Linked DNA regions of Mus musculus: all the other regions are reported to be linked to region 2. The links are microRNA targets in miRTarBase. Many come from high-throughput screens and were not tested one by one. Region 2 holds a microRNA gene; each other region holds the end of a gene's coding sequence.
Evidence for each region. The annotated mature microRNA mmu-miR-669i reads UGCAUAUACACACAUGCAUAC and lies in region 2 at 5,945-5,965, opposite strand. An mRNA with a match to its seed (bases 2 to 7 or 8) in the 3' UTR can be bound and repressed. Matches are read on the target gene's strand: a 7mer-m8 pairs with bases 2 to 8, a 7mer-A1 pairs with bases 2 to 7 and ends in A, and an 8mer does both.

Region 1 (8,579 bases), not on the chromosome of region 2:
GATTTTCGGTTTTCAATAAGCTGTAACGACACCACTGAGCACCCCCAACAAGAGCTGGGTGAGCACGGAGGAAAAGCTCATTAGCACAGTGAGGAAGTTGGTGAGTGAGTGCTGTGAGGTGCAGAGAGGGAAGCCCACCACTGTCTCCTACGGGGACCCATTGGTGGAAGTCAGTGAGTTTGGGCAACAGGCTTGAGCTGATGAGCAAATAAATCATCACGGATAAATAAACGTTTTATGAGGCTGATATTGTCCTTATCTTGAGAAAGGAAAAAAATCGTTTTCCTTTGAAAATTCACCAAATACAAGGTGTATTGTCAGTAGCTGTCTGCTTGGCAAATATAATATGCCACATGATTTCAAGAACATTCATAACAACAAAAAAAAAAAGGTTTTGATTTCTTATCTTCATATAGTGTGGCTTGTAAAATACTCAAGTAGATTGGACAAATCAGTGTGTACTTATCGATTACAGGGAATAAATTAAGATGGGCATAGTATTAGAAGCCAGAACCACCAAAAACTCAAGTGCTGTAGTTTATAAGTCATTTGGATCTGACGTTTCCAGACACAAAGCTTCATTTACTTAAGCGACTCTAGAATTTCAGCAGTATGATCCTGCTTCAAACGTGAACTATGGGTAGAAGCAAATAAAAATAATGTATCTCAAGCCTGGATTCATCCACAGTTCCATCTCCCGGGGGCTGGCCAACTTTAGCCCACTTTCACAAGCCCCAGGATGTTAAGTTGGAAATGGAGACAGGCACACTCAGACAGGACAGGGTTTGTCTCATCCAAAATGCTTGGAATTCAAAGTATTTCAGATTTCAGGGGTTTTGGATTTGGGGTTATTGACTTAGATTTAACCAGTTGAATATCTTTAATCCCAAATTTCCCCTAATCTATCATGTTAGCTCTGTTTAAATAATTCCATTCTGCAATATCTCGGATTGTTTTTGAATCAACTACTCCAGTCTGTACAACATTAGCCTTTTTTTTCTGAAACATCCTTCTCTCTGTGTTCTTCAAGGCCAAGTTCCTCTCCATTCACGTGGAGAAAGGAGCCATATTTGTTAGAGAAGAAAAATAGAAACAGAGTCATCAGGAATTATTCAAAAGTGAAGGCTTTTTGACTATCGTATATTTCATTTTTGAAAGCAGTGTTCAGTAGGCAGCAACTTCTACTAACTTCTACTTCTGTCATATTTAGCAACCATAACCAGTAAAAGACAACTCTGCAGTATTTAAATGTAAAACAGTGCTCACTCAATAGCCTGCGACAATACAGGTCTTAACAGTGTTGAGGACTTGGTCAAACAAACTACTCTTACTCCTAGGAATATAAATTATAAACTAGAATAATAAATTTGCTAAATTGAAATAAAATTTAATTGACATAAAATTGTTCAGGGTTTTAGGGTATGGCCTATTGTTTCAATTAATGTATACACTGTGGAATAAACTCTAGTGTGTGTGTGTGTGTGTGTGTGTGTTTTCTTTTAAGATATCTGAGTGCAGTTGTGTATGTGACCTGAGGACAGCACTGTGGAGTTAGGTTCTAGCCTTCTACTTTTACCTGGGCTTCAGGGGTTAGATTCAGGTAATAAGCTCACATTGCAAGTGCTTTTAACTGCTGGGTTATCTCTTCAACCTCTACCACTTTGTAATTTTGACAGGAGCATAAATAAAAGCTTGTGAAGCAAGATTTCAACAGACAGGCTTCCCTACTACATTCCAGTATATAAGACAGTTTCCTGGACTCTAGAATCTTGAGTGTCTTTTGTATGAATTAAAATATATACATATGTATATATTATTACCTTTAATCTATTTTTAGTCTAGTAGTTATCCCCCTCTCATTCTGCTCTTTGACTGTTCCTCATCCCATTCCTCCTCCCCCATCTCCAAGAGGATGTTCCCACACCCTACTAGGCCTCCCCATTCCCTGGGGCCTCAAGTCTCTCTAGGGTTAGGTGCATCTTCTCCCATTGAGTCCAGACCAGGCAGTCCTCCTCTGTACATGTAGGTATGTGTCTGGGGCCTCAGACCAGCTAGTGTATGCTGCCTGGTTGGTGGCTCAGTGTCTGAGAGATCTCGGGGGTCCAGGTTTGTTGAGACTGCTGGTCTTCCTATGGGGTCACCCTCCTCTTCAACTTCTTCCAGCCTTTCCTTAATTCAACCACAGGGGATTCCCGACTTCAGACCAGTGGTTGGGTTTAAGTATCTGCTCTGTCTCAAGTCAGCTGCTTGTTGGGCCTCTCAGAGGGCAGCCATGCTAGGCTCCTATCTGTAACTACATCATAGCATCAGTAATAGAGTCAGGAGTTGGAGCATCTCCTTGAGATAGATTCCAATTTGGGCCTGTCACTGGACCTCCTTTCCCTCAGGCTCTTCTCCAGTTTTGTCCTTGCAGTTCTTTAGATAGGTACAATTCTGGGTCAAAGTTTTTGACTGTGGGATGGCAACCTGATCCTTTCACTTGATGCTCTTTCTTTCTACTGGAGGTGGATTCTACAAGTTTCCCACTGTTGGGCATTTCAGCTAAGGTCCCTCCCTTTGAGTCTTGAGATTCTCCCCCACTGCCTCCTACCTCCCGAGGTTACATATTTCCATTCATTTGCTGGCCCTTGGGGCTTCACTCCTGTATATATGTGCACATACGTGCAGTGTTTGATGGCTTAGTCCAGAAGAGAGTGTTGGGTCCCCTAGAACTGGAATTACAGATGGTTGTGAGCTATCACATGGGTGCTGGGAACTGAACCTAGGTCCTCTGCAGGACCAGCAAGTGCTCTTAATTGCTGAGCCATCTCTCCAGTCTCTTTTTATGCACATTTACCTATATGCATACCAGCCATTTAATTTCTGGTTGCCATTATCACTGATATCATTCAGCTCATGCACATCATTTTTTTTTATTATTTACTTTAAAAATCACTACCTAAAGGCCAGCACTTCACATATATCATCCCCATCAATACTCAGACATTCCTGGAAATGCATATTAGCTTTATCCAATTCCCCATTTGGACTTTTAAAGATGACTTTTTAAAACATTATATAATTAGGAAGGATGAGACCAGGACTCTCCAGACCCAGGTTCTCTTAGGCACAGGGGTTGCTGCTTTAATGTTGTGATGGGCACTACAAGCAGGCCTAACTCAAGGGATGCACCACTGCCCAGTGCCCATTCTGGAGTCTAAGTAGGTCCAATCCTATGGAAAGAATGAGTGATGGGCACACAATACCTGAACATGAGAGCAGACAAGTTGGGAAATTCAGTTAACACACCAACTGCTCATGAAAGAATTCTTTCTTGCGGGCCACCTGACGTGCTTTAGGGGTCCTTGTCTTCCTTTTTCCTCTGCCTTCCTTCCCACAAGTTACCCTCGATCCTCACATCTTCCCATACCCCATTAGTACTCTTGGATTCTGCTTTGCTTCCCACAGATACTGGCCCCTTTCATCTTTACCTTTTGGACCTGGCTTCATTTTTCTTTTCTAGAAGTGAGTTAGGGAGTGGTGCTCCATCTGCCAAGGAACTTTGAACAGCAGTAGACATGTGACAGAAATGTCTGCTTCCATCATCCTTGCTGTCTTCCTTCCTTCTCTCTCTCTCTCTCTCTCTCTCTCTCTCTCTCTCTCTCTCTGTCTCCCTAGCTTGAAAGACCAATAGGAATAATTATAGAAATGTACCGCAGAAAACTACAAACTTATCTTCATGTAAGGACTTGATAAAACACAGTCTTATGTCATTCATGTATGCATGGAGACACATGTCATGAGTCACACAATACATGAAGCCAGCTAAATTCAACCACCACTTTCTAAAAAAATAATAAAAAACTAAAATGTCACAGAAAAACAGGCCTCATATTTAAGAATTAAAGATACAGAATACACACTTAGACTCTGAAACCATTTTACTTTATTGCACTATGGAAAAGTTAGGATGTGCAAAGTAATGGAGGCACAAAACTAAGCCTTCAAAATATCTTTGGCTGAACTTGCCTGTGAGATCTTCAGACTAGAACATATATACACATACACACACACACAGAGAAAGAGAAAGTTATGGTGAAAATCATATCATAATCTTTAATATACTACACATAAAATTGTACAGAAACAAGAAAGAACATTATACACAATTAAAATATATATATTAAGAAGTTCTCCCTGAACATGAGAATTGAAAGACCCTGAGCCGATTCATCTATTTATCAGGGAAACTTTAGCAGAAGGAAACATTTCTCAACCTGGAATAGATGAGCTATGGTCTCACTCTGAGGCTAGGATACTGAATGCATGGAGGCCTGAAGCTACTTCCATGACTCACTGATTGAGGAAACATTAACTAGACATTTATTACTGAAGATTACTTAATATTGCCAAGGGGTACAAGAACACATACATACATATAGGTATAAGTCTCACTATGTAAGTATATACACATGCATATATACTGTGGATGTGAAGGTTCAGGTGTGGTTGTTCAAATGTGTGGGCACATGACTATTTGTGTCTGCGTGCATGCTGAGCTCAGAGGATAGCCTTGGTGTCACTTACAAGCACCACATATTCTTGTTTTTTGAGACAGGGTCTCTCACTGATGAGTAGGCTGGGTGCCTGGCCAACACCCTCAGGGATCTGCCTCATCTTTGCCTCCCAGCGTGGGGATTACAAGTACATTCCATCATGCCTGGCTCTATTTTAAATATGGTTTGGGGGACTGTCTTAGTCAGGGTTTCTATTCCTGCACAAACATCATGACCAAGAAGCAGATGGGGAGGAAAGGGTTTATTCGGCTTACACTTCCATATTGACAAAGGAAGTCAGGACTGGAATTCAAGCAGGTCAGGAAGCAGGAGCTGATGCAGAGGCCATGGAGGGATGTTCTTTACTGGCTTGCTTCCCCTGGCTTGCTCAGCCTGCTCTCTTATAGAACCAAGACTACCAGCCCAGAAATGGTCCCACCCACAAGGGGCCTTTCCCCCTTGATCACTAATTGAGAAAATGCCTTACAGTTGGATCTCATGGAGACATTTCCTCAACTGAAGCTCCTTTCTCTGTGATAACTCCAGCTGTGTCAAGTTGACACAAAACTAGCCAGTACAATTGACCCCTTGTCAACTTGACACACAAAAACATCACTAGTAAGCCTCAACCCTTACAATCTTATTCATCCCCAAGATCTAAATAACTTTAAACATCCCACAGTCTTTACATATTCTTAAAATTTCAATCTCTTAAAAATATCCATCTCTTTTAAAATCCAAAGTCTTTTTACAATTAAAAGTCTCTTAACTGTGGGCTCCACTAAAACAGTTTCTTCCTTCAAGAGGGAAAATATCAGGGCACAGTCACAATCAAAAGCAAAAGTCAATCTCCAACCGTCCACTGTCTGGGATCCAACTCACGATCTTCTGGGCTCCTCCAAGGGCTTGGGTCACTTCTCCACGCCATGCCCTTTTGTAGCACATGCGTCATCCTCTAGGCTCCAGATGCCTGTACTCCACTGCTGCTGATGCTCTTGGTGGTCATCTCATGGTACTGGCATCTCCAAAACACTGCATGACCCCTTCAGTCCTGGGCCTTCAATTGCAACTGAGGCTGCACCTTCACCAATGGCCTCTCACAGTGCCAAGCCTCAGCTGCTTTGCGTGACCCCTTCATGCCTTCAAAACCAGTACCACCTGGGTGACCCTTACATATTACCAAGTCCTGCTGCATCAGGAGTACAACCTTGGCCATCTCTGGAACACAGCCTCTTTGTGCTTTCAGAAAACACTTCCCAGAAGATGTCACCTCAATGATGCTGGTCTCTTCTTAATCACCGCTAATTTCTTAGCTCCAGCTAACCAGCATCAATAGTCCCAGTAATGCAAAGTTTTTGCTTTGGTAGTTCTGGTATCTTGTTAATCACAGCTGATTCTTCAGCCCCAGCTAACCAGAACTACAGAACCTTCACAATCAAAACAGCAATGGCCCTGAAAAGAGTCTTTAATTTTTCCCCTCTGAAATTTCACAAACCAGACCTCCATCTTTTGCAGTGTTCTCAACATTATCTTCCAAGTTCTTACACAACATCCGACAGAGCTCTTAACAACGGATGGATCTTCAAGCCCAAAGTTCCAAAGTCTTTCCACAGTCCTCCCCAAAACATGGTCAGGTTGTCACAGGAATACCCCACTCTGCTGGTACCAATTTGTCTTAGTCAGGGTTTCTATTCCTGCACAAACATCATGACCAAGAAGCAGTTGGGGAGGAAAGGGTTTATTCGGCTTACACTTCCATACTGCTGTTCATCACCAAAGGAAGTCAGGACTGGAACTCAAGCAGGTCAGGAAACAGGAGCTGATACAAAGGCCATGGAGGGATGTTCTTTACTGGCTTGCCTCACCTGGCTTGCTCAGCCTGCTCTCTTATAGAACCCAAGACTACCAGCCCAGAGATGGTCCCACCCACAAGGGGCTTTCCCCACTTGATCACTAATTGAGAAAATGCCTTACAGTTGGATCTTATGGAGGCATTTCCTCAACTGAAGCTCCTTTCTCTGTGGTAACTCCAGCTGTGTCAAGTTGACACAAAACTAGCCAGTACAGGGGACTGAACTCAGGTCTTTATGTTCGTAAGACAAGTACTATATTGACTGAGCCATCCTCAGGTCAGCCCAAATATATCGTAACACAGCCTGTTTCTACTAAACTGACAGGACATGATAGCACATTCAACTGCTGGTCACGTGTGAGAAAAGCATCACCACGTGACTATAATACACTGAGGGACTTCTGAACCACAAAGCTAATGTTCTCCATGTAAATCTATGAAACTGTTATTAGGCTTCACTTTGGCATTTTATGAAAATTAGATGAGCATATAAATAAGATATTTTCCCACAAAGACATACATAGAATATAAAACCAATGATACATAACACAGAAAAATAAAACTCATGGTCTTCGCATTTACAGAAATTTATAAAATCTTCTCTTCATGAAGGAAGCATGCTATAATTAAAACTTCTCATCTTGAAAATAATCCGCAGAATTGAGAAAGTTCTGCAGTTGATCATATTTCTGCATATACAACAGAAAAAATAGTTATTTTAGTCACAACAGCAAATAAGATAGACCTTTATAACTACTGAAACACATATCCTATGGTAATTGGGAATAAAAATCACTTAATTATAAATAGAAGCATTTGTAACTCACAAAGCGTTGGAAAGAAATCAAATAGTAGCATTATTAATTTCATTCCCCTTAGAAGTTATAATTGGAGATTACAGCATACGTATAATTCAATAGTTAATCCAACAGATATTTGTGGAACAGATGTGTATTTATGTAACTAGTTTCCTACTATTGACTGGTGAAGGCAGAATGTTTAAGACAATTCCCTGTCCCTGAGACACTCACAGCAACCAGCAGCACTGCTATAAGGGTCAAAAGAGAAACCATGGCCAGCTGAGGTGACCTGGAAAAAGTGATATTTCAGGTGTTTTAGACAAAAATATTTGATAGGCAACATCAGTGGCAAAGTGAGCCCCCCCCCACACACACACACAGTCCAGGAAGTTAGAAGTTCGTCCAACAGAGCCATGCCAAGGGAGCGTAGGATTTGGTAGTAACCTGATGTCTTCTGAGAGAAAGAGAGGACTGGACCAAAGAAATTGAGATGGAAGAATAAAAACTATGATACACTAGGTTATGAACTGAGCAAAGATTTGACAGACACTATGATGTTGTCAAAAATTTGAGAGCAGGGGACTGATCTTATTTGAAGTACATGTTCAGAAAATTGGTTGGCTATTCTATAGCTGTCTGGCAGTGAGCTCTGAATCTGTGGTGACAAATTAGGCAATGAGGACTCAAACCTGTGTGGCAGCAATGGAAGTGGAGTATGTTAAGAGATGCATTAAAGGTGCCCTGGAAATTTCAAGGTGAAGGAGTACAAGAATAATGGCAGGCAGGGCTCTCAGAGGCAGATCAGGGAGCAGCGATGATACATGAGTTCACATTTAGACACAGAGTCCAAGTATTTATATCAGTTGAGGACATTAAATTATTTAATGCTTTCCTGATCTGGTTTATGAACTCCGAGAGAAGATCTCAATGGCCTGAATTCTGCGATGACAAGGATTCATGGAGGCAATATGAATGAATACTGTATTTCCATCCTAGGCAAGGCCATGAAGGCCATTTCCATAACCTCAAGAGCTGTGACTGCAGCACATCCGCAAGAAAGAAGGAAGAAGAGAACAAGGCAGAAAATGCCTGTTAGCATAGCCCACTCAGAGTTCTCTTGGTTTTAGTATATGCAAATAAATTCTCTATGATCTGCAACCTATACCTTAAAAGATGGGCTGTTTTAGGCTTATTATTTTAGCTTTAAATGTGTTAATCTAGATTGTTTATAAAATGTGTTTTGGAAAATTAAAATGTACACCAGTATACTGAGAGAAGCAAATAACAATCTTTGCTTGCTTATATTACAGATACTAGCTAATGGGAGTTGATCACTTTCTAATTCCAGGCCCTAAAATATGCCACGATTCACAGGATCAAGGCTCTAAGTAT
Region 2 (11,066 bases):
GAGAATTTGACAGGAACGCATTCTTTGTGCAGTGTGTGTGTGTGTTTGTTTGTGTGTGAGTTTGTGTGTGTCTGTGTGTGTGGGTGTCAGTGTGTGTGTCTGTGTGTCTGTGTGTGTCTGTGTGCGTGTGTGTTTGTGTCTCTGTGTGTGTGTCTGTGTGTGTGGGAGGAGGTGTCAGTGTGTGTGTGTGTGTGTGTGTGTGTGTGTGTGTGTTCGTGCGCATGCTTCTGAAATCTAAGGACTTCATTTACATGAACTTGAAGGCACCAGATGAAGTTATGGGTGATGCTGCTACCTTTCTGGTAGGAGGTGTAGTTTTGCCTGCTCATCCTTCCCAAGCAAAGCAAAACAAGTGACCCCTCCCCTCCCCTCCCCTCCCCTCCCCTCTCCTCCCTCTCCTCTCCTCCCCTCCCCTCTCCTCCCCTCCTCTCCCCTCGCTTTTCTCTGAAGCCCGTGCATCAGTGACTGCACAGATGATGTCTGTACACAGTGGGCTTTTTCTTCCCAGCTTGACCTTTCTCATTTAGGGTCTAGAGGAGCTCCCATCTCCTCGAACAGTTTCTCATGTTTGCCGGGATGAATATACATTATAAATGTCCATCCTTTAGCACACTTGTTTCTCAAGTCCCTCCCAGAACCTTCTATCCACCTCCCAAACAAAGCCTTACACAAGAAGAGACCTGGCTCCCAGTTCTCTGTTCAGCACCCTCAGCAGGAAGGTACCAAAGCCAGCCACTCACAGGCCTGCTTCCTTCACTTCCAGGGGCTTTGCCACACCAGCCTCTGCTCCTCGCACTGCCCTCAGTTCTGTGTTAAAATTCACAACCCCCCCCCCCCACTGTTTACTTTCCCCCGGTGGGGCTTCACCTTTTCTATGAACATACAAAGTCCTTTGAGCTCAAAACAAGTGGAAGCTGAGGCAGCTAAGGTCAGCCTTGGCTTCTGTCTAGCATCTATTTTCTAATACCCATAGAATTGTGTGAACTGTATTTGGGTGTTCTGTGTGGCTGATGTATGTTCAGATAAAATGCTCTTATTTGGAAGTCACCCTTGATTGTAGCGCATAGATGTTTAGCCAGGTTTTCCAAAACTAACTTCTAATGGGCTGTAAATTGTCATCTTGGACCTGGATATAATCCGTCTATACATCCAGAGGGCAACAGTGTCCACGGGGAAGCTATTTTTAATCTAATAATTCCTAGATAGAATCAAGTCTTGCTGGGCTTCACCTGAGCAGCAATTAATTATCTGGACCCTAAAACTACCCACTTACTTGAAACTTGGAATGGCTTAGACATGTCCTCCCCCTTCTCCTTGGGACTGTTATTCACTCTGTCATTTAAAATTCTTTTCCTTTGAGCTGGTAATGAGCTCTTTTTGGAAGGCAGTTTTAAGGCAGCTCAGAAAATAACTACTACATAAAAAACAAATTGCCGCAGAATGTATAATAGAGACAACAGGGGTCAATTACACTCATTCGTCAACAGAGGCAGAACAAGAAGAACGGAGGCTTAAGCACAGCCAGGAAAACAGGTTTTAAACCAAGGGGGAGGAAAGAAAACAGCAAAGAGGAGAAAAAAAATAAAGAGGAAATAAACCCCCTCCAGCCATTACAGTTTCTAAGAAGCCACCTACCCAGACTACGTGAATGACAGCCATTAAAGGCATTTAAGTCTTCATGACTCTTTACTTTGAATGCCGACTTTCCAAAGGGTATGCAAGTAAGAGGGAAGAGGTTGGTGACCCATTTTTCTTGTGATACAAATGAACAGACAACAAACAGCCATTAAGTCTGGCTGAGCAAATGGACAGTGCCTTTGAAAAACTTAACAGTATAAAGAGCTATGCCCTTTGACATGGTTTCAGTCCTAGGAATTTATCTCAGAAAAGTGACCCCACTAACTGAGAAAATGAGTTATATGTTGGGAAATGTACAGCAACTTTACGAAACTTGGAGAAGGCAAAAGTAACTCTCCATGAACAGAAAATGATACAAGATTGACTCAAGACCCCCTCTAAGCCCCTAAGATATCATATAGGCATGATATTGCATGGTTGGGGCAGGGAAATTATGAAAAAAAATGCTATGTCCTTCAGCTAAAAGGACTAATTGCAGACATATGAAATTACTAGAATTACGCAAAAGATGTAAAGAAGAGAAAAATATAAAAAAGAAATTGTTTTGAACTTGTGACAAATATCTTCAACTTTTTTGTACTTTTTCAAGTTTTCACTAGTAACTGGAAAAGGACTTCAGTGACAAAAAGTTATCTTTGTGCTAGTATAATGCAAAGTCAGACTATGTGTCAGCAAAAGTTCTTTACAAGGTGTGACTCTTGCATGAGTGATGTTCCCCCACCACACACACACACACACACACACACACACACACACACCCACACACACACACCACATCACACAAATAAACCACAAACACACATTCATACACACACATCACACACACCATACAACAAACCACACACACACACACACACACACACACAGCACACACACACACATATGCATACACACATCACACACACGCACGCTTCACACACCATCACCCTTCAGCTTCACCAGTCCAGATTCTATCCAGAATGAGTGAGGCCACATTCTGATATAGAAGTGAGTCAGGCGAAAGGATGAACCATCTAGTGATTGCCATATCCGGGGATCCGTCCCACAATCAGCTTCCAAACACTGACACCATTGCATACACTAGCAAGATTTTGCTGAAAGGATCCTGATAGAGCTGTCTAGCAAACACAGAAGTGAATGCTCACAGTCAGCTATAAGATGGATCACAGGGCCCCCAATGGAGGAGCTAGAGAAAGTACCCAAGGAGCTAAAGGGATCTGCAACCCTATAGGTGGAACAACAATATGAACTAACCAGCACCCCAGAGCTCTTGACTCTAGCTGCATATGTATCTAAAGATGGCCTAGTCGGTCATCACTGGAAAGAGAGGTCCATTGGACTTGCAAACTTTATATGCTCCACTACAGGGGAACGCCAGGGCCAAAAAGTGGGAGTGGGTGGGAGGGTATGGGGGACTTTTGGGATAGCATTGGAAATGTAAATGAGGGAAATACCTAATAAGAAACATATATATATATATATATATATATATATATATATATATATATATATATATACATATATATAAAGTGAGTCAGGACAGCCTCAAGGCTACCTCAGAGGCCCTGTGCCCCTTGTCTATGCCTTAGAATAGGGTTACCAGCAAAGTTTAAGGTAGGATTTCACTCTCTTATAAAGCAGACAGCATAACAATAAAATCCCCTCTTCCATGTAGCCTAGCTATACAAGCTGTGCCATCATAATAAGAAAGTAGCAAAAGGATATCATGCTTGCTATGTTCCAGCTAGACAACGGGAAAGACACTCAGATCCTGAAGTCTGTTGGGAATGAGACATTTAATAAACTACAGTTAAAGCCACCTTGTTAGACTGTCAGTCCTCAAGGATGTGCCTGACCTCTATCCTAGACACTCGTTCCTTCACCCATGAAAAGAGTAAGCCGGCCCTCTGCATGCTGGGTGTGGGGCAGTTCTAATACAAGCATTAGAGAGGTGAAGCAAACTGACATAAGTCTTCCCTTTATGGCGCTCAGATTTCCCGACAGAAAACAGAGGAGACAAATGTAAAAAAGTCAAAAAGTCAGCTGGCTGGAAAGATGACTCAGTCAGTAAAGGGCTTTGCTTGACAAGCATAAAAACCTGAGTTTCATCTCCAGAATCTATGTTTTTTAAACAGTGAAAGAGGGAAAGAAGGAAAGGGAAGGACAAAAAACAGAGGGGAAGGGATGGGAGGAGAGGGGAAGGAAACACAGGGGAGGGGAGGGGACAAGAGGGAAAGGGAGAACAGGGGAAGGAAGGGACAAGAGAAGAGAGAGGAGGGGAAGGGAAAGGAGGGAGAGGAGAGGAAATGAGGGGAAGGGAAGGAAGAGAAAAAGAAAACAAAGACATCACCATCACAGAACCTAGGAAAGAGACACAGCTCTTCAGGAGAGAGAAGAAGTGGGTCCCACTAGAAAAGAAACACTGAGTCCAAACCCTCAGCTGTGAGTTCAGACATCAGCAACAAGGATGGCAAGAATGGCGGAGCAGGAATGAGCCTTGAGAACAGATTTCTAATAGTACGGCCATAATGGACGAGAAAACACTTGCAAAGTGGGCTCTGCTTTGGTGTCCTAACACGGGACCAGGCGCTGGTATTTTAGACCCAAAAATCAACGGAAAACCAACGAAAGCAGTGAGAAGAAGTGCAATATTCGCCTATGTCTCAGGGTGCTCCAAGGTCATTTAAAACAGTAGGCATTCATGCATTCCCATGAGTTCTTCTTATTTACGATCAGGGAATACTGCAGAAAAACAACAGAACCTTAGGCAAGGGCAGAGGAACCAGAGAGTCCATTTGACCTGAACACTAGCCACAACGCTGCTTCTTACAGAAAAAGAATTAGGCTGGGACACATTTCGTACAACAATTAAAGCACTTCTCTGTGTAAAAGCAAGCACAGCATTCTAGTTTGAATTATGTTAGGAGACAAAGATATCACCAAAAATAGACTCTAATATCATATAAATATCAAGTGTTGACAGGGAAAAACAACACTTTAAAAAAATTCTTAAAGAATTATTAAATAAGCAAAAGGATTCTTAGTTTTTAACGACCAGAAATGTTTTCAATATTAAGAGCAACCCAGCTTTACCTCTTAACCCCATTCAATTAAAAGTGACCTTTTTCATAGAGAATGAAAGAGAAGACAGCTATTAATGAGGGAGGTATTCCAGTCTCCCGAGCCAGATGAACGATAAATTTTAAATTAAGATATATTGCAATCTGAAAACTCAAAGAAAATCATCAGGTGTACGAAAAACCAAAAGAATCACACCATAGCCTGCCTGTGTGCTGAGTTCCAGAGATCCAACTCAGGCTGTCAGGTTTCCACAGAAGCCATTTTCACCTGGAGGGAGAACTAGCCCTGGATCCGTTCTGCATAAGCTCTAAAGCTCTGAGTCACATCTCATTCAAATAGATCGATCAGAGCCACTAATGTGCGTGTAGGTGAATGCCAGTGTGTGTGTTTATGTATATGTATGTGAACATTCATATACATACATTTACATGCACACATAAGTATGAACCCATGCACATACATGGGGGAGGGCATCACATGAATCGCATGCTGATCTCTAACTCATCATGAAGTGAAACATGAATTTGAACTCCAGGACCTCCTGACGCTGGCAAGAGTATTCACCTCCTAACTGAGACATAGCTCTGGCCCAGTACTGCATAAGCTCTAAAGCTCTGAGTCACATACCATTCAAAAGGATAAACGAGTGTCATTCCTGTGTGTGAGTGTGTGTGTGTGTGCATGTGTGTATATGCATATTCATATAGAGAAATGAATATGCACTCAACTATACACCCATGCATATTTTTGGTGGGCATCACATGAATGCCAGGATGATCACAAACTTATCAGGAAGTTAAGCATGAATTTAAATTCCTGATCCTTCTAACTCTGGCAAGTGGTTTTCACCTGGTGAGTTAGATGTAACACTGACCCATAATTATACACTCTATAAAACTCTAAGCACATATAAATCAAACAGATCTATGACTGCCATTCTTATGTGTATATGTATGTGTGTGTGTATGTTCATATACATGCATGTACAAGCACACTTACCTACACATATATACACATACACAAGGACAATCAAATGAATTCCAGGCTGATCTCTAACTCATCATGAAGTTAAACATGAATTTGAACTCCGTATCCTCCTGACTCTGGAAAGAGTATCCACCTCCTAACTGAGGCATAGCTCTGGCCCAGTACTGCATAAGCTCTAAAGCTCTGAGTCACATATCATTCAAAAGGATATATGACTGTCATTCCTGTATGTGAGTTTGTATGCATGTGTGTATATGCATAGTCATATAGAGAAATGAATATGCACACAACTATACACACATGCACATTATTGGTGGGCATCACATGAATGCCAGGATGATCTCTAACTCATCAGGAAGTTAAACATAAATTAGACCTCCTGATCCTCCTGACTCTGGCAAGAATACTCACCTCCTAACTGAGACATAGCTCTGGTCCGTTACTGGATAAACTCTAAAGCTCTAAGTCACATACCATTCAAAAGGATATATGAGTGCCATTCCTGTGTGTGCTTGCGTGTATATGCATATTCATATAGAGAAATGAATATGCACACAACTATACACCCATGCACATTTTTGGTGGGCATCACACGAATCGCATCTGATCTCTAACTCATTATGAAGTTAAGCATGAATTCGAATTCCTGATCCTCCTGACTCTGGAAGGATTATTCACCCGGTGAGTGAGATCACGCACTGGCCCAGTCATACAGAACCTCTAAGACTAAGTCACATATCATTCAAATGGATCCATGAGTGGCGATTTTGCGTGTATTTGTGTGCATGCTTGTATGGGTATGTGTGTATGTATATGTATACTCATATACACACATGCACATGCACACATACATATACACACAGGCACATACACTGGGGGGGGGGGGCGCCATCACATGAATCTGAAGCTGATCCCTACCTAATCATGAATTTGAGAATGAATTTCCACTCCTGATCCTCCTGACTCTGGCAAGCATTTTCACCTTGTGAGTGAGAGCACCCACTGATCCAGCCCTGCATAATCTCTCAAACTCTAAGTCACATACCTTTAAGGCCTGACTCTGGCAAGCACTTTGACCTGTTGAGTAAGAGCATGCACGGGCACAGTACTGCATAATCTTTAAAACTCTTAGTCACATATTATGCAAGTAGATGAATGCAAGTCACCATGTGTTTGTGTGTGTGTTGCATGTGTGTGTGTGTCTGCACATGCATATCCATATACATTCATGAACATGCACACACATGTAAGCACACGTGCACATACATGGGTGGCATCAAATGAATACCAGGATGATCTCTAAATGGAGTTTGAACTCCTGATCCTCCTGACTTTGTCAATCATTTACACCTGGTGATTGAGACCATTCACTGTCCCTCTACTGCATAATCTCTAAAACTCTAAGTCATATATCATTCAAATGGATCGATGAGTACCATTCCTATGTTTGTGTGTTTCTGTGCTTGCATTTATACATGTGTGGATGTTATATATATTCATATACACACATGCACACACAACTATACACACGTTCACATGCATGGGGGGAATCACATAAATCACAGGCTGATCTCTAAGTCCTCATGAGTGTAAGCATGCATTTAAGCTCCTGATAGACCTGACTCTGGCAGTTGTCTACACCTGATGAGTGAGAACACTCACTGTCCCCGTACTGCATAATCTCTCACCTCTAAGTCACATGTTATTCAAATGGATCTAAGAGTGCCATTAATGTGTGCGTGTGCATGCATGAATATGTGTGCATGTATTTATATGTATATCAATATATATATACATGTACATGTACACACAAACACACATGCACATACATAGGGGTCATCACATGAATGCCAGGTTGATCTCTACCTCATCATGCAGTGAACATGAATTTGCACTCCTGATCATCCTGGCTCTGGCAAGGGGCGTCACCTGGTGAGTGAGACCTCTCTGTGGCCCAGTCATACAGAATCTCTAAGACTCACATATCATTGAAATGGATCGATGAGTGTCAATTTTCTGTGTGTTTGTGTGCATGTTTGTATGGGTATGTGTGTATGTATATGTATATTCATATACACACATGCACATGCACACATACATATACACACAGGCACATACACTGGGGGCATCACTAGAATCCGAAGCTGATCCTGGACTCATGAATTTGAGAATGAATTTCCACTCCTGATCCTCCTGACTCTGGCAAGCATTTTCACCTTGTGAGTGAGAGCACCCACTGATCCAGCCCTGCATAATCTCTAAAACTTTAAGTCACATGTCATTTAAAAGTATCAATGAGTGCCATTCGGGGTATGTGTGTGTGTGTGTGTGTGTGTGTGTGTATGTGTGTGTGTGTGTGTGTGTGTGTGTGTGTGTGCCTGTGTGTATGTGTTTGTGTGTATTTATATGTATATTCATATGCACACATACATTAGCACACAAAACTATGCAACATGAACATACACTGGGAAGGAACCCATAAAGCCAGGCTGATCTCTAAGCCATTTTGAAGTTATTCATAAATTTGAACTCCTAATCCTTCTGAATATGGGAAGCTTTTTCACATTGTGAGTAAAAAGTTTCATTAGCCCAATACTACATAATCTTTAAAGCTCTATGTCACACATCATTCAAATGTATCAATGAATGCCATTCCATGTTTGTGTGCTTGCATTTACATGTATGTTTATGGTATGTATATTTATATACACACATGTGCATACACAGGGACGTAAACACACATGCACATACACGGGTGGCATCACATGAATACCAGGATGATGTCCAGCTGAAGTTAAGCATGAATTTGAACTCCCGACCCTGCTCAATCTGTAATATGTTTGCACATGGCGAGTGAGACCGTTCACTGTCCCACTACTGCATAATCTCTAAAAGAATAAGTCACATAGCATTCAAATTAATGGATGAATTCAATTCCTCTGTGTGTGAGAGTGTATGTGCTTGCATTTGTGTGTGTGTGTGCGTGCGTATGATATATATATTCACATACACACAAGCACATGCACACACAAATATACACACATGGACATACATGGCTGAGAATCACATGAATCACAGGCTGATCTTAAAATCATCATGAAGTTAAGCATGAATTTGAACTCCTAAAACTCCTGATTCCAGCATACATTTTGACCTGGAGAGTGAGATCACGCACTGTCCCAGAACTGCATAATCTCTAAAACTCTAAGTGACATATCATTCAAATGGATCGATGAGTGTCATTTGTGTGTGTGTGTGTGTGCCGCATGTGTGTGCATGTGTCTGTATATGCAAAATCATATACATACATCCACATGCACACACACGAAAACACACATCGACATAAATGGGTGGCATCACATGAATGATCTATAACTGAAGTTAAGCATGAATTTGAAATCCTGATTAACCTGACTCTGTCAATCATTTACACCTGGTGAGTGAAACCATTCACTGTCCCCTATTGCATAATCTCTAAAACTCTTAAGTCAGTTATCATTCAAATGGATTGATGAGTGTCATTCTTGTGTCTGTGTGTGTGTGCTTGTGTTTATACGTGTGTGTGTATGTTATGTATATTCAAATACACACATAAACATGCACACACAACTATACACACATGCACATGCATGGAGGAATCACAGGCTGATCTCTCATGAGGATAAGTATGAATTTGAACTCGGGATACTCTTAACTCTAGCAAGGATTTTCACCTAGAGAATGAGAGCACTCACTGGCCAAGTACTGCATAATCTCTAATATGCTAAGTGACATATCATTCAAATGGATCAATGAGTGGCATTCGTGTGTGTGTGTGTGCTGCATGTGTCTGTACATGTATACTCATATATATACATTCACATGCACACACCTGTAAACACACATGCACATACACGGGTGGCATCACATGAATACCAGGATGATGTCCAGCTGAAGTTAAGCATGAATTTGAACTCCTGATCTTCTTGAATCTGCAAATTGTTTACACATGATGAGTGCGACCATTCATTACCCACTACTACATAATCTATAAGACTGTAAATCACATATCCTCTGTGTGTGTGTGTGTGTGTGTGCACGCACGCGCATGCAAGCGCACATGCACGTGTGTCTATGTATGCTCTCATGTATATGCATATTCATATACACACATGTACATGTACGCACACACAAACACACATGCACATACACAGGAGCCATCACATGAATGCCAGGCTGATCTCCAACTCATCATGCAACCAACATGAATTTACACTCTTGATCATCCTGAATCTGGCAAGGGTCTTTACCTTGTGAGTGAGAGCATTCATTGGCCCAGCACGGCATACTCTCTAAAACTCACATGTCACATGTCACATGTCACTCAAAATGATCTATGGGTGCCATTTCTGTGTGTGTGTATATCTGTGCATGCTTGTATATGTTTGTGTGGATGTATATGTATATTCATATACACACATGCACATGCACACAAAACTATACACACATGCAAATATATTGTGGGGAACCCCATAAAATCAGGCTGATCTCTACTCTCTTTTGAATTTATTTATGAATATGAATTCCTGACCCCTCTGAATATGGCAAGCTTTTACATAGTGAGAAAAACTTTCATTTGACCAGTACTACATAACCTTTAAAGCTCAAAATCACATATCATTCAAACATATCAATGAATTCCATTCCTTGTGTGTATGTGTGCATACGTGTGTCCATATACATGTATGTTTATGTTATATATATATATATATATATATATATATATATATATATATGTATATATATATATATATATATATATTCATTTACACAGATGTACACGCACACACATGTAAACACACATGCACATACATGGGTGGCATCACAGGAATACCAGGATAATCTCTAACTGAAGTTAATCATGAATTTGAAATCCTGATTCTCCAGACTTTGTCAATCATTTACAGCTGGTGACTGAGACCATTCACTGTCCCACTACTGCAGTCTCTAAAACTCTAAGTCACCTATCATTCAAATGGATCGATGAGTGCCATTCCTGTGTGTGTATCTGTGCTTGCTTGTATATGTTTGTGTGGATGTATATGTCTATTCATATACACACATGCACATGCACACAAAACTATACACACATGCACATACATTGGGGAGGATCCCATGAAGCCAGGCTGATCTGTACACCATTTTGAAGTTACTCATGAATTTGAACTCCTGATCCATCTGAATATGAAAAACATTTTACTGGTAAGTAAGAAGTTTCATTGGCCAAGTACTACATAATTGCTAAAGCTCTAAGTCACATATCTTTCAAACATATAAATGAATGCAATTTTTTCTCTGTGTGTGTGTGTGTGTGCTTGCAT
Region 3 (11,066 bases), not on the chromosome of region 2:
CAGAAGAGGGCATCAGATACCATTGCAGATGGTTGTGAGCCACCTCTGGAAGAGCAGTTGGTGCTCTTAACCTCTGAGCCATCTCTCCAGGCCCCTCACTAACTTTTAAAAACGTTTGATTGTGACAGTGTCTCACTCTGTTACCCAGGCTGGCCTCCAGCTTCTGCCCTTCTGCCTCAGTCTTCAGAGTAGCTGGCATTACAGGTCTGTGCCATCTGCCCAACCAGTTTTCCCTTTTCACTGTTTGCCTAGTTTCCTGATCACATTTGTAAGGGGGATTCCATGAACTACAATTTCTGGGTTAAGGTTACAGAAGTGCTGTTTGGTGCACACACCATGTGGTTGCTGGGAATTGAACTCAGGACCTCTGGAAGAGCAGCCGGTGCTCTTAACCTCTGAGCCATCCCTCCAGCCCCCGGTAAAGTTTGTTTGTAACGGTTAAAATCAGCAGATGCATTGACTTTCCGTCACTCATAGGCTCCTGAAAGCCTCCCCTGATGTAAGATGCACCTCTGACTGCTTGGGGAGGTATTTTTCCCCACTGAATTCATTTTTGCATATTTCTGCATCATGGATGGATTTTAGATGGAGAACAATGTGATATCTCTCCTGGTCACTGTGTGGTCCTTTTGTTCCATTTAAATAGCAAGCCCCCTTGCAACCATGTCTTTGATTCAGGAATTGTTTAGGACTAACTTGCTATGTTTAATGTTAGGCTCTGGTAACCCCACCTATTTTGCTGGCCAAATCCCCCATGTGGAAAGCCCCTACACCTAAGTTCTATAAATCTTTGTCGTCCTCACATGTAATGCTGACCTTTTGAACCTCATGGGCGGGGGCAGGGAGGGATGGGGGGGGGGCGACAATCCTTGTATCTAATTAAAAAAAAAACAACTTGCTTTAATTTAATTTGACCATGATGATTTAGGTCAGTGGTCTTTCTCCTCTCATCTTTGGGATTAATATCCTTTGGCTCCAAGTTATTTTTTAGAAGTCAAATTTAGGGGCTGGAGAGAAGGCTCAGAGAGCAAAAATATTTGCTGCTCTTCCAGAGAACCCAGGTTCAATTCTCAGCCTTGGGCTGGGTAGCTCTCACTACTGCCGGTAACTCCAGCTCCAGGGGCCCTGGCAATCTTGCCTGGTCTCCACAGCTCCCTCTCATATGCACACGACACACATATACATAAATTTAAAACCTTTCAAACTGTCAAATTTCATATTCAGTTGTACCAGAAACCTTCCCAGCCCTGACACTATTGGTGTTTTGGTCTATTTGGTCTCGTATTTAGACTGTTGATGTGTGAGTTGCTGTAACCGATCAAAACACCATGAAAGCCCTGAAGCAAATCTTGACCTTGGATTTTGCAAAAACTGTTCTCTGTAGTCTTCAACTGAGTCTTGTAAGAAGCCTTGGGGGTTGGGAGGGGGTGGTGCTGAAGGGAACCCCTGGAGTACAGGGAACATTCGGTCTTGATGGAGGCTTATGCAAGTGTACGATTGTCGCAGAACACTTGAGTTTGAAGATTTATGCCACCAGCATTCACGAGCCATCAAGCAACTGTGGAGGGAACTTAATCTGTGTCTCCACTGAGGCCTTAGAGGGACAGTGCTGTAAACTAAGTCTTCTAATCAGAATCAGGCCTGGGCCCAGGTCTCCTGACTCTGACGAGCGCGACTCTGCTCTTTGCGTACAGGAACCTGGCAAGACTCAGAAAACAGGAAAGAAGTTGCTGGTTCCGGTAAACGGAAACGACTCAGCTGACGGTGAGTGCTTTGTCTAAGACAATAGCACAGAAGCCCAAGGGATGGGAGAGGCATTCCAATTTTCATCCCCGTGGCAGATAGGCTCTGCCAAGACAACTAAAGATGGGTGCAAAGCCTACAGTGTTATCCCTAGGGCACTCCCCAGAACCTCATATTGTTATTGATAGAATCTTTCTGTCCTTTCACTCTTCCATTTCCTTCCTTTCTACTCTGTAGTCCCCACCTTCGCCAGGGCCTCCAGAATGGTGCATTGGCCTGTGTTAATACCCACTGGCCTTTGACTAGAAGCTCCTGCCCTGGCCAGACCTAGTTCCATGAGCTGTGCACTATAAGCCACAACTCCGATTTCAGAGACTCCATGCAAAATGAATGGAAGCCATCTCATGAATAACGGTTCAGATACCGACTGCATGAGTACTGAGTTGAACCAAATGGCACTTGTTTTCTTTCATACTTAGTTTGTTCGTAAGTTAGTTTTGCACAGGTTCTGGGAACAGAACTTAGGTCTTCTGCAAGAGCAGCGTGTGCTTTTAACCACCGGGCTCTCTCTCCCACCCCCATACTCAGCACTGTACTGCTTGGGACAGAACCCAGGATTCTGAGTATGCTGGGCACTATTTGAGCCTTCCTTTTACTGGCTAAATAAGCCATGTGACTCCCGGGGCTCATGGGACTTGTATCCCGGCTCTTTCGGTTCCTCCGGATGGAAGGTGACACATTTCGTACCTGTCTCATCTATGTCACCATAACCCCATACATGAGCTTTCATGACTTAGATACAGGTTCAGGTTTTCAGTCGTTTGTTTTCCTGCATCCAGTGGCAGTGAGGCAGCCGTGAGGGAGGCCAGCTGGTATGGAAGGTCCTTCGCTCTCTGCTCTGCTGTTTCTGCAGATGAGGATAGCCTTGCCCTATACCTCATGAGTACAGCCTTGAGATACTGTACACTCACCTCCTACGCCCCTCTGTGGTTCATGCCACATGCCCTTACACACACACAGACACACAAACACACACAGACACACAAAGCAACATCTCCCACTGGGCCGTCTTGCATTACAGGAGTTTTTTTTTTTTTTTTAAAAGATTTATTTATCTATTATATGTAAGTACATTGTAGCTGTCTTCAGACACTCCAGAAGAGGGAGTCAGATCTCGTTACGGATGGTTGTGAGCCACCATGTGGTTGCTGGGATTTGAACTCTGGACCGTTGGAAGAGCAGTCGGGTGTTCTTACCCACTGAGCCATCTCACCAGCCCTTACAGGAGTTTTTTAAAGGTATATATTTAAAAACTTTCATTAAAATGTTACTTTGTATATATGGGTGTTTTGCCTGCACATATGTCTGTGCACCACGTGCATGCCTGGTACCTTGCGAAGGCCAGACGATAGTGTCAGATTTCCTGGTACTACAGTTACAGATGGTTGTGAACCATGGGTGCTGGCAATTGAACCCGAGTCCCCTGTATTCAACTGAGCCATTTCTCCAGCACCCAGATTCTTGGTTGGCTTCGGGTGTGGAGGCTTCAACAGCCAGGTTCACAGAGTGCAAGGGAGTGTGTCAGGTCCTCCCCTGGGCTTCTCCATCTGACTTAGGATTCTTGACCCTGTATGAAGTGGCTTGTAGCTTACCTGTCCCCCATGTTTTCTGACACCCAGACCTGAAGTTTATCTTCGAGTATTGTTCGGACATAGTGCCCTTTGACTCCTGGAACCGTCTCATGCGGCAGTTGGGCCTCACAGACAATCAAATCCAAATGGTCAAAGCCGAAACACTGGTCACACGTGAGGCCCTGTACCAAATGCTGCTCAAGTGGCGCCACCAGACTGGGCGAAGTGCCTCCATCAACCATCTGCTGGATGCCTTGGAAGCCGTGGAAGAGAGAGATGCCATGGAGAAAATTGAAGACTACGCAGTGAAATCCGGGAGGTTTACTTATCAGAACGCTGCAGCCCAACCAGAGACAGGGCCAGGAGGATCTCAGTGCGTTTGAAGTCAGCCTGATCTACTTAGTGAACTCAGGACAGCCAAGGCTATGTAGAGAGCCCCGAAGATGCAGGCTCTTCAGTATTATGAGAATGTACTTAATTTTTTCTTGTAGTAGTTAGTGTATCATATTATTGTATTATTTATATTATTACTGTTAAGTACTATGTTCTCTTATTAGAAGTTGAACACAGAACCTCTGAGAACACATATGCTACAAGTGTTCTAACACACCTCCAGCATCCCGGATTACCTTTGTTCCTGAACAAGGCACAATTGGTAGGGTATGATAGGGCCTGCCTATCATCCTAACACTCCGGTGATGGAGCCAGGAAGATCAAGAGTTCGAGGCCAGCTGGTTCACATAAGATCCCATATAATGTGCAGGATGGCTAAACTTGCTGAGAGCTGACTCTGTGGTCTCCTGTCCCAGATTCTAGCGATATTCATTACTAAGACCCTTGTCCAGAGACAAAAGACCACCTCTGTAACAGAGGGAAGAATAAAACAGCCCTAGGGTGGAAACTCCTTGTGAACACAGCCACTGCTGTTTACTGTTAGACTACTGCTCAGCACTACACAGCTGCACGGCACCTCCCTGTGCCAGGTGCTAGTGGGCAGCCTACTGAGGGTACATCTAACTTGAATCTAACACACTTGAAGTGAGTTTGCTGGTTTGGACACAGAGGGAGCATTAAGTGCTACCTGGGGTGACCCTTGAGGACCACGCCCCCTGTAAGCATTTGACCATTGTGAGAGTAAACACTGAAACTCACCATTGTCCTGCCTCAGCCTTTCTAGAGCTGGAATCATAGGTATGCTGCACCGGATCCAGAAGGAGAAATAACTACCTTTAGATACTGTGATAGGGATTTCTAGAAAGCTGCCACATACAGATTTTTGTCCTGTGTGAATTCCTATTGTTTTTTGTTTGTTTTTAATTTTTTATTATTTATTTTCTTCATTCACATTTCAAATGCTATCCCAAAAGTCCCCTATGCCCTCCCCCCCCCTGCCCCCCGCCCTGCTCCCCTACCCACTCACTCACTCCCACTTTTTTTTTTTTTTTTGAGACAGGGTTTCTCTGTGTAGCCCTGGCTGTCCTGGAACTCACTCTGTAGACCAGGCTGGCCTCGAACTCAGAAATTCACCTGCCTCTGCCTCCCAAGTGCTGGGATTAAAGGTGTGTGCCACCATGCCCGGCCTTTTTTTTTTTTTTTTAATTAGGTATTTATTTCATTTAAATTTCCAATGCTATCCCAAAAGTCCCCCACATGCTCCCCCACCCACTCCCCACCTGACTTTATATGCCTCACTCCCACTTCTTGGCCCTGGTGTTCCCCTGTACTGGGGCATATAACGTTTGCAAGACCAAGGGGCGTCTCTTTCCACTGATGGCCGACTAGGCCATCTTCTGATACATATGCAGCTAGAGACACGAGCTCTGGGGGGGTACTGGTTAGTTCATATTGTTGTTCCACCTATAGGGTTGCCGACCCCTTCAGCTCCTTGGGTACTTTCTCTAGCTCCTCCACTAGGGGCCCTGTGTTCTATCCAATAGATGACTGTGAGCATCCACTTCTGTATTTGCCAGGCACTGGCATAGCCTCATACGAGACAGCTATATCAGGGTCCAGTTTTGTTTTGTTTTGTTTTAAACTAGCATGCTGGAGAGGTAGCTCAGCGGTTAAGAGCAGTGGCTGCTCTTCCAGAGGTCCTGAGTTCCAATTCCCAGCAGCTACATAGTGGCTCACAACCTTCTCTAATGGGATCTGATGTCCTTTTCTAGTGTGTTTGAAGCCAGTGGCAGTGTAATTACATACACAAAATAAATAAATCTTTTTAAAAAAGAGAGCAGTGTACGTGGCCCTCATCTATTTCGTTATTTTCATTTTTTAATTTTTGCTGTGTATGAATGTTTTGCCTACATGGTTATGTGCATGATATGCATGCCTGGTGCCTTTGGAGGTCTGCAGGTCAGACGGGCATCTGGTCCCCTTGTACTGGAGTGGCAGATGGTTGTGATCCAGCATGTGGGTGCTTGAAGCTGAGGCCAGGTACAAGAGCAAGCGCAGGTGCTCCAAACTGCTGAACGATCGAGCATAAGGCCTCATTATGGCTTCTCCAGTAGATGCTCGGCACACAGCAGGACAGTTGCCTAGAGATGGCTGGTCCCAGTCATTCTGTAGTCCAAGTTGCTGTGGCGTTCATGGGGCTTCAGGAGGAAGACTCCCACTTCTGAGCATTATCCTTGCCAGTGTTGGTTATGGTATCTTGAGTGCAAGTCCAGGCTGACATCAGGATTGCACATCAGGGTTTGCTGGGCTCTGTACCCAGCCCCAAGAGCAGGTGTTTCACCCTCTCACTTGATGCCCTTCCTTATGCCTCTTAGAAGTGTGTTGGTAATATAAAACAGTACAAGACTTGTCATTAGATACAAAATACTCATGTATTATGAATTCATGACCAAATTAAATATGAAACCTTATATAAAAAGGTGTGTGGAGAGGGGTTGTGGGTTTGTGTTTTTACCCCCATCCTCTAAGACAACACTGAGTGACATGTGACATAGTCCAGAGGAGCATGTTCTTGGGACACTGCCCCACCCCTGGGGGTGTTATGCCAGACTTGTCCCACACTGGAGTTTCTCCTGCTTTTGTCTCCCTGGAATCCAGAGCACCCATGTACTAAGGGACTGCAAGCAGCACCTCCCTCTCCTGGCTCACTCACAGCCCCACCCCCCACTGTGGGTATACAAGGCCACAGGGGTCCACCTGCTGCACACCAGCTCTGACAGCTGTGGGGGTAGGGGTGGGTCCCTGAGGGGTGAACTGGCCTGGGTGGGGCATGGTGTTCTCCTTGGTCTTCCTCCACCTCCACAGATCTTTCTCCTACTAGCCTGTCCATCCTCATTACCAGTGATGCCAGGCGGCTCAGCCCTGTAAATCACTTGGGAGACCCAATTCCCCTTGCTCATTAGGACAGACATCTACCTATCATTTACAGTTCCCGAGAGAGATACCCCTGTATCGTCCAAGGAAGGTGTGAGAAGCTGCCTGCCTTTTCCATGAGTGCAGGCTTCTCCACACTAGAAGCCATTTAGAATTCAGCAGCAGGGCACACCAGCTAGTAGAGGGCAGCACACAACACACTTCCCCAGCCAGCAACTCTGGAGGGCTTTTAACTACTAGGCAGCAGCAGGCTTGGCGGTTCCAGGCTCAGACTACAGAAAATCAGCACTGTGAGACCTGCTACTACTTGTTCCTTCTGACAAGACCAGATCAGAACTCGAGGTCCCGGTACCACACAATTGTAGGTTGCATTTGTTTCTGGGGTTGCTTTAATTCCAGCTTAAGCAACCTAGCTAGGTCCTGGGGACTCAGCCAGTATTTCCTTACCTAAAGCATTTTCTCAGGGAAGGGGACCCCAGAACTTTCATGACCTACTCCCTCATGGGACTTCACCTCGTAAGTCTAGAGAGAGGGTAAAGGTGGTGATATGTGGATCGTAATTAGGAAATGGGAAGGGTCAACTGAGACCCAGTGTCAATCCCACGGGGGCTTCCAGCCACTGTTGTCAATCCTCCAGTCTCCCCAATTCCTCTTTAGACTCGCATCATTTCCTTCCTGCTCAGCTACCCCTGTTTTCTCCTTCCCCTTATCCCCAGCCAGTACCAGGTTGGCTATGTGTAGCCTGTTCTCCAGTGCTCCCTTTTTTGACATTTAATTCCTGCTGAAAGCCTCCCCCCGCCCCAGGAAGCACATTGCCCCACGCACATCCCGTAGAGTCACCTTTGGAAGAGAAAAGTATCCTGCATCAAGGTGGAAAAGGTACAAAGCCATTTGAGCCCCGAAGCCCACACTTTCCCCGAAACCCAGTAGCCTAGACCCAGCAGGCCTTGGGGAGTGGCATCCTCAGAAACGGAGGGTACAGGTCCTCCCCTGAAAGGCATTGGAGTGGTTGGTACTACTGACCCTTCATAGCCACATAATAATAGAGGCCTCCATTCAGCCTTATGAAGATGTACACCCTACAGGGTCTCTCTTTTTAGAACTTCATTCTTTTGGGGAGATGAAGGATAACATGGTCTTGGTGGTGCTTTTGAGTTTGGGTTTCTCCTGTTAGGCTGTTTTTGCTCCCATCTCATAAAAGGCAGTGCTGCCCAGAGGCAGGGGGAGAAACCCCAGAGGAGCATAAAACTGCTGAGCACAGAACCCACCCTTCCTCCTCCTCTTCCTCCTCCTTCATCCATGTCAGATGTAATGTGTGCGGGAAGGGTGAAGTAGAGAACCCACATTGTACTAAAGTGCTGCCTACAAACCTGAACACGGAGTCACCGCTGCTACCCACCACTAAGTCTACACTGCCTGCAGTCAGTCCTTACAGGATGCTGGCAGGCTGCAGTTTATTCTTCTCCCCGCCAGCAGCCACACCTCACGGCCTAGGAGACTTGATGTGGGCTCTGAAGACTTCTTTTCTACCTTAACTTCTCAAGGATTTCAATAAGCCCGAGGGACAATGCTCACGAAATACTTGCAACCCTCAAAAGTCTGTGGATGGGAAAAAAAAAAAGACCAGCTCCTGGAGAGGAAGCTGCCTCTGACCAAAGCAGACACCAATACAGACAAGCCCGAGTACAGGGGAAGCTTTCCTCCACTGGCTCTATTGTCAAGTCCAGAGAGAAAATATCCGAGCTCTGAGCTCTCTCCTGCTCCCCACCTTGGGGCAGATGTTTTCCTGCCCTGCCTGGAATTGTAGGTGGACCCTGTTCTGATCTGCAGGGCTGGCTCCTCTTAGCCTGGGCCACATTGGCTGGTGAGAACGGCTCTGCCCTTAGGATTCTGGTTAGGTGAATTCCCTCGTCACCTGTCGGGTAGAGGGGATGATACAGAAGAGCAGAAGGACAAGGGCTAATGAGGACAACAGCAGCGGGATCAGAAGACGGTGGCAGCATCTCAGACCACAGCCGAGGAGGAGGAGGAGGGGGATGCTGAGCCCGCTGCTGAGGAGGACGGTGATGAGGGACTGTTCCAAAACAGCCACCGCCGCTTGGGCTGCCTCCGCAGGTGTAAATAGTCCTCTTTCTCTCGCTCCTTCCGCGCACGCTGATAGTGGTCCTCTTCTTTCAGGTACCAGACTGGCGGCCACCGGTGTTTCTCAAAGTACTCCTGGTTTTCTAGACAACAATGCCAGGGGTGCGAAGTTAGGAGGTATTTTCAGGGCAGCGCTAAGCCTACCCTGCCCATGCTTTGGGTTAGCCCTGTCACAGAAACTTGTGGGGTTGACACAGAGACTCACCTGGAGACATAGCCTTCATGTCTCTGGGGAACTTGCGGCACACGTTGTTGTAGTTGGTGCAGATATGGTGAAGACACCAGTCGGCCAACTGGTACGCGCAGTGGAACTGTGAGTGGTACAGAAACACATCCCTACTGGAGCAGAGACTCCACATAGAGGCCTACGGAGCAGCAGCTCTGGGCAGTGCCCGTAGATACTCTGCAATCATAAGGGGCCCAACCCTCACAAGCATCCTGTCCGTTGCCAGAACTGGGCAAGACAATGATTGATGTGAGCTCCTGGGTCCTATTATCAACCCCACAATTGCCTCAAGCATGTGTACCACTAATGTTCGTGTCCCACATGCCCTCCTCTGGTACCCGCTCTTCTCAGCTCTTACCCAACCAGGATCCCCTTCTCCTCCCATCCGCAAACAAAACAGTCTGCACCAAGAAGGGGGCAACCGAGCTTAGAAAACCTGGCACCAGCCACCCTCAAAGGCCCAATTCCTGCCACCAGGACTCCTTTGCTTGGTAATAAGGAAGCAGGCAGTTAACTTCAGAGGCACTACAGAGGCAGTTAATCTCAGTACCCCCTATATGATTCAAGCCCTATCCTGGTGTTCCCTCTAATGACCTACGGTCTCGGTCCCTCTGTCTGTCATGGCTAGCTCTCTTTGCAGATGTCGACCAGGGCTGTACACTCTGCCGACCCATCACCTCCCAGAGCCCTACACTCTGTCTACGAGCAGGGTCTGGAGTCAAGACTTGTCACTTCCTTCCCTTGCCACAGTACCTGTGCCAATTCCAAGAATACAAGGACATCCCCATCGATGTCCACCATCATCTGGGTCGCCTCCATCAGTCCAGTCACTGTGTACTGCTCTGTGACACACACATACAGCAACAATCAGCTGATGGAACATGACAAAGGACCTACAGTGCTTATGTACCACAGTGGGGATTGCTATAGAAGGAGTTCAAACTGATCAGGCCAGGGCTAAGTCCCAACAGAAAGCCAGAAAGACCAAAGGAGACTTTAGGTTTGTTCCTATTAGAGGGGAAAAAGGGATGAGGGTAAGGCCTCGGTGGGGCAGGAATGGGAAATGGAAAAGGGCTGTTGAGCTAGCTAAGGGTTTTTTTCTTTTTTCAAACTACACACGTCCCACTGTACAACCTGCTACACAGAGGATCACAGCCCTCAGTACAATTAGCCACTGACGGAAGACAGTCTGAAACCTCATGTTTGTTGAAAATGAAGACAGCCTGAGAACTCTGACAGAGAACTGTGGGTTAAACCTACTTATTCAAATTAATTTAAAATGTATTAGCAGATGGTGTATAAATCTTCCAGTTTACATTCAAACATTTATATGAAGAATAAATTCCTTTGGCCCCGAATTTAAATAGAAGTATCAGAATGAACCCATGAGGTATTTCATCCTTAGAAAGATGGGTGTGTTTTTCCAGCTCCTCCGTCAGGAAAGACCAGGAAAGGAGAGTATCACAAGACTAGTGAGCATTCCCATTGTCGTTTCCACTGTAAGAAACCAGGACTTCCAGCAGCATGTATAGGGCTCTGGGTTCATCACCACTAAGAAACCAGAGTATTTGGAGAAACAGCTGACTCCAGATCTGAAACACGGTGGCGCTAGGACATTTTCCTTCTAGAAAGCAAGGACACCAAGCACTCCTGAGCAATGCAAAGAACAGACGGCTCTTGTCTAAAGGTATAGTGTTTGAACTTCAAAAAGAACAAATGTTGGTTGTGGTAGTGCATGCCTTACAATCGTAGCACTCTGGAGGATTCAGCAAAAGAATCAGGAGTTCAAAGCCAGCTTAAGTTACAAAGCAAGTTCGAGGCCAGCCTGGGCTTTATAAGACTCTGTCTTAGAAACAACAACCAAACAAAATAATAATACATTGAGCCAGGTGATGATGGTGCACGCCTTTAATTTCAGCATTTGGGAGGCAGAGGCAGGAGATTTCTGAGCTGGAGGCCAGACTGGTCTACAGAGTGAGTTCCAGGACAGCGAAGGC

Region 1: the mRNA of Ccdc82 is a reported target of mmu-miR-669i. Seed matches in the 3' UTR shown: 7mer-m8 at 6,873-6,879 and 8mer at 4,453-4,460.
Region 3: miRTarBase lists Tnfrsf10b as a target of mmu-miR-669i. Seed matches in the 3' UTR shown: 7mer-m8 at 5,055-5,061 and 7mer-A1 at 5,172-5,178.

Annotation. Positions count from the first base shown.
Region 1 is chr9:13,287,844-13,296,422 of GRCm38, reverse strand. It overlaps Ccdc82 (coiled-coil domain containing 82), which reads right to left. Exons shown (of 9, transcript NM_025534.3): 9 at 4,070-7,076. The coding sequence ends at 7,014. Among named protein-coding and RNA genes, the nearest start is that of Maml2, 5.8 kb to the left of the region's middle.
Region 2 is chr2:10,512,570-10,523,635 of GRCm38, reverse strand. It overlaps Mir669i (microRNA 669i), which reads right to left and starts at 6,032; the gene lies at 5,906-6,032. All of the region lies in intron 10 of Sfmbt2 (Scm-like with four mbt domains 2), which reads right to left. Mir297a-4 (microRNA 297a-4) reads right to left here and starts at 6,569; the gene lies at 6,472-6,569. It overlaps Mir669h (microRNA 669h), which reads right to left and starts at 5,481; the gene lies at 5,357-5,481. It also overlaps Mir669m-1, Mir669m-2, Mir466n, Mir669o, Mir466g and Mir466h, and 2 more genes.
Region 3 is chr14:69,778,810-69,789,875 of GRCm38, forward strand. It overlaps Tnfrsf10b (tumor necrosis factor receptor superfamily, member 10b), which reads left to right. Exons shown (of 8, transcript NM_020275.4): 7 at 1,695-1,764; 8 at 3,423-5,602. The coding sequence ends at 3,757. Rhobtb2 (Rho-related BTB domain containing 2) reads right to left here. Exons shown (of 10, transcript NM_153514.5): 8 at 9,823-9,911; 9 at 9,049-9,154; 10 at 6,181-8,926. The coding sequence ends at 8,706. Among named protein-coding and RNA genes, the nearest start is that of Tnfrsf10b, 17 kb to the left of the region's middle.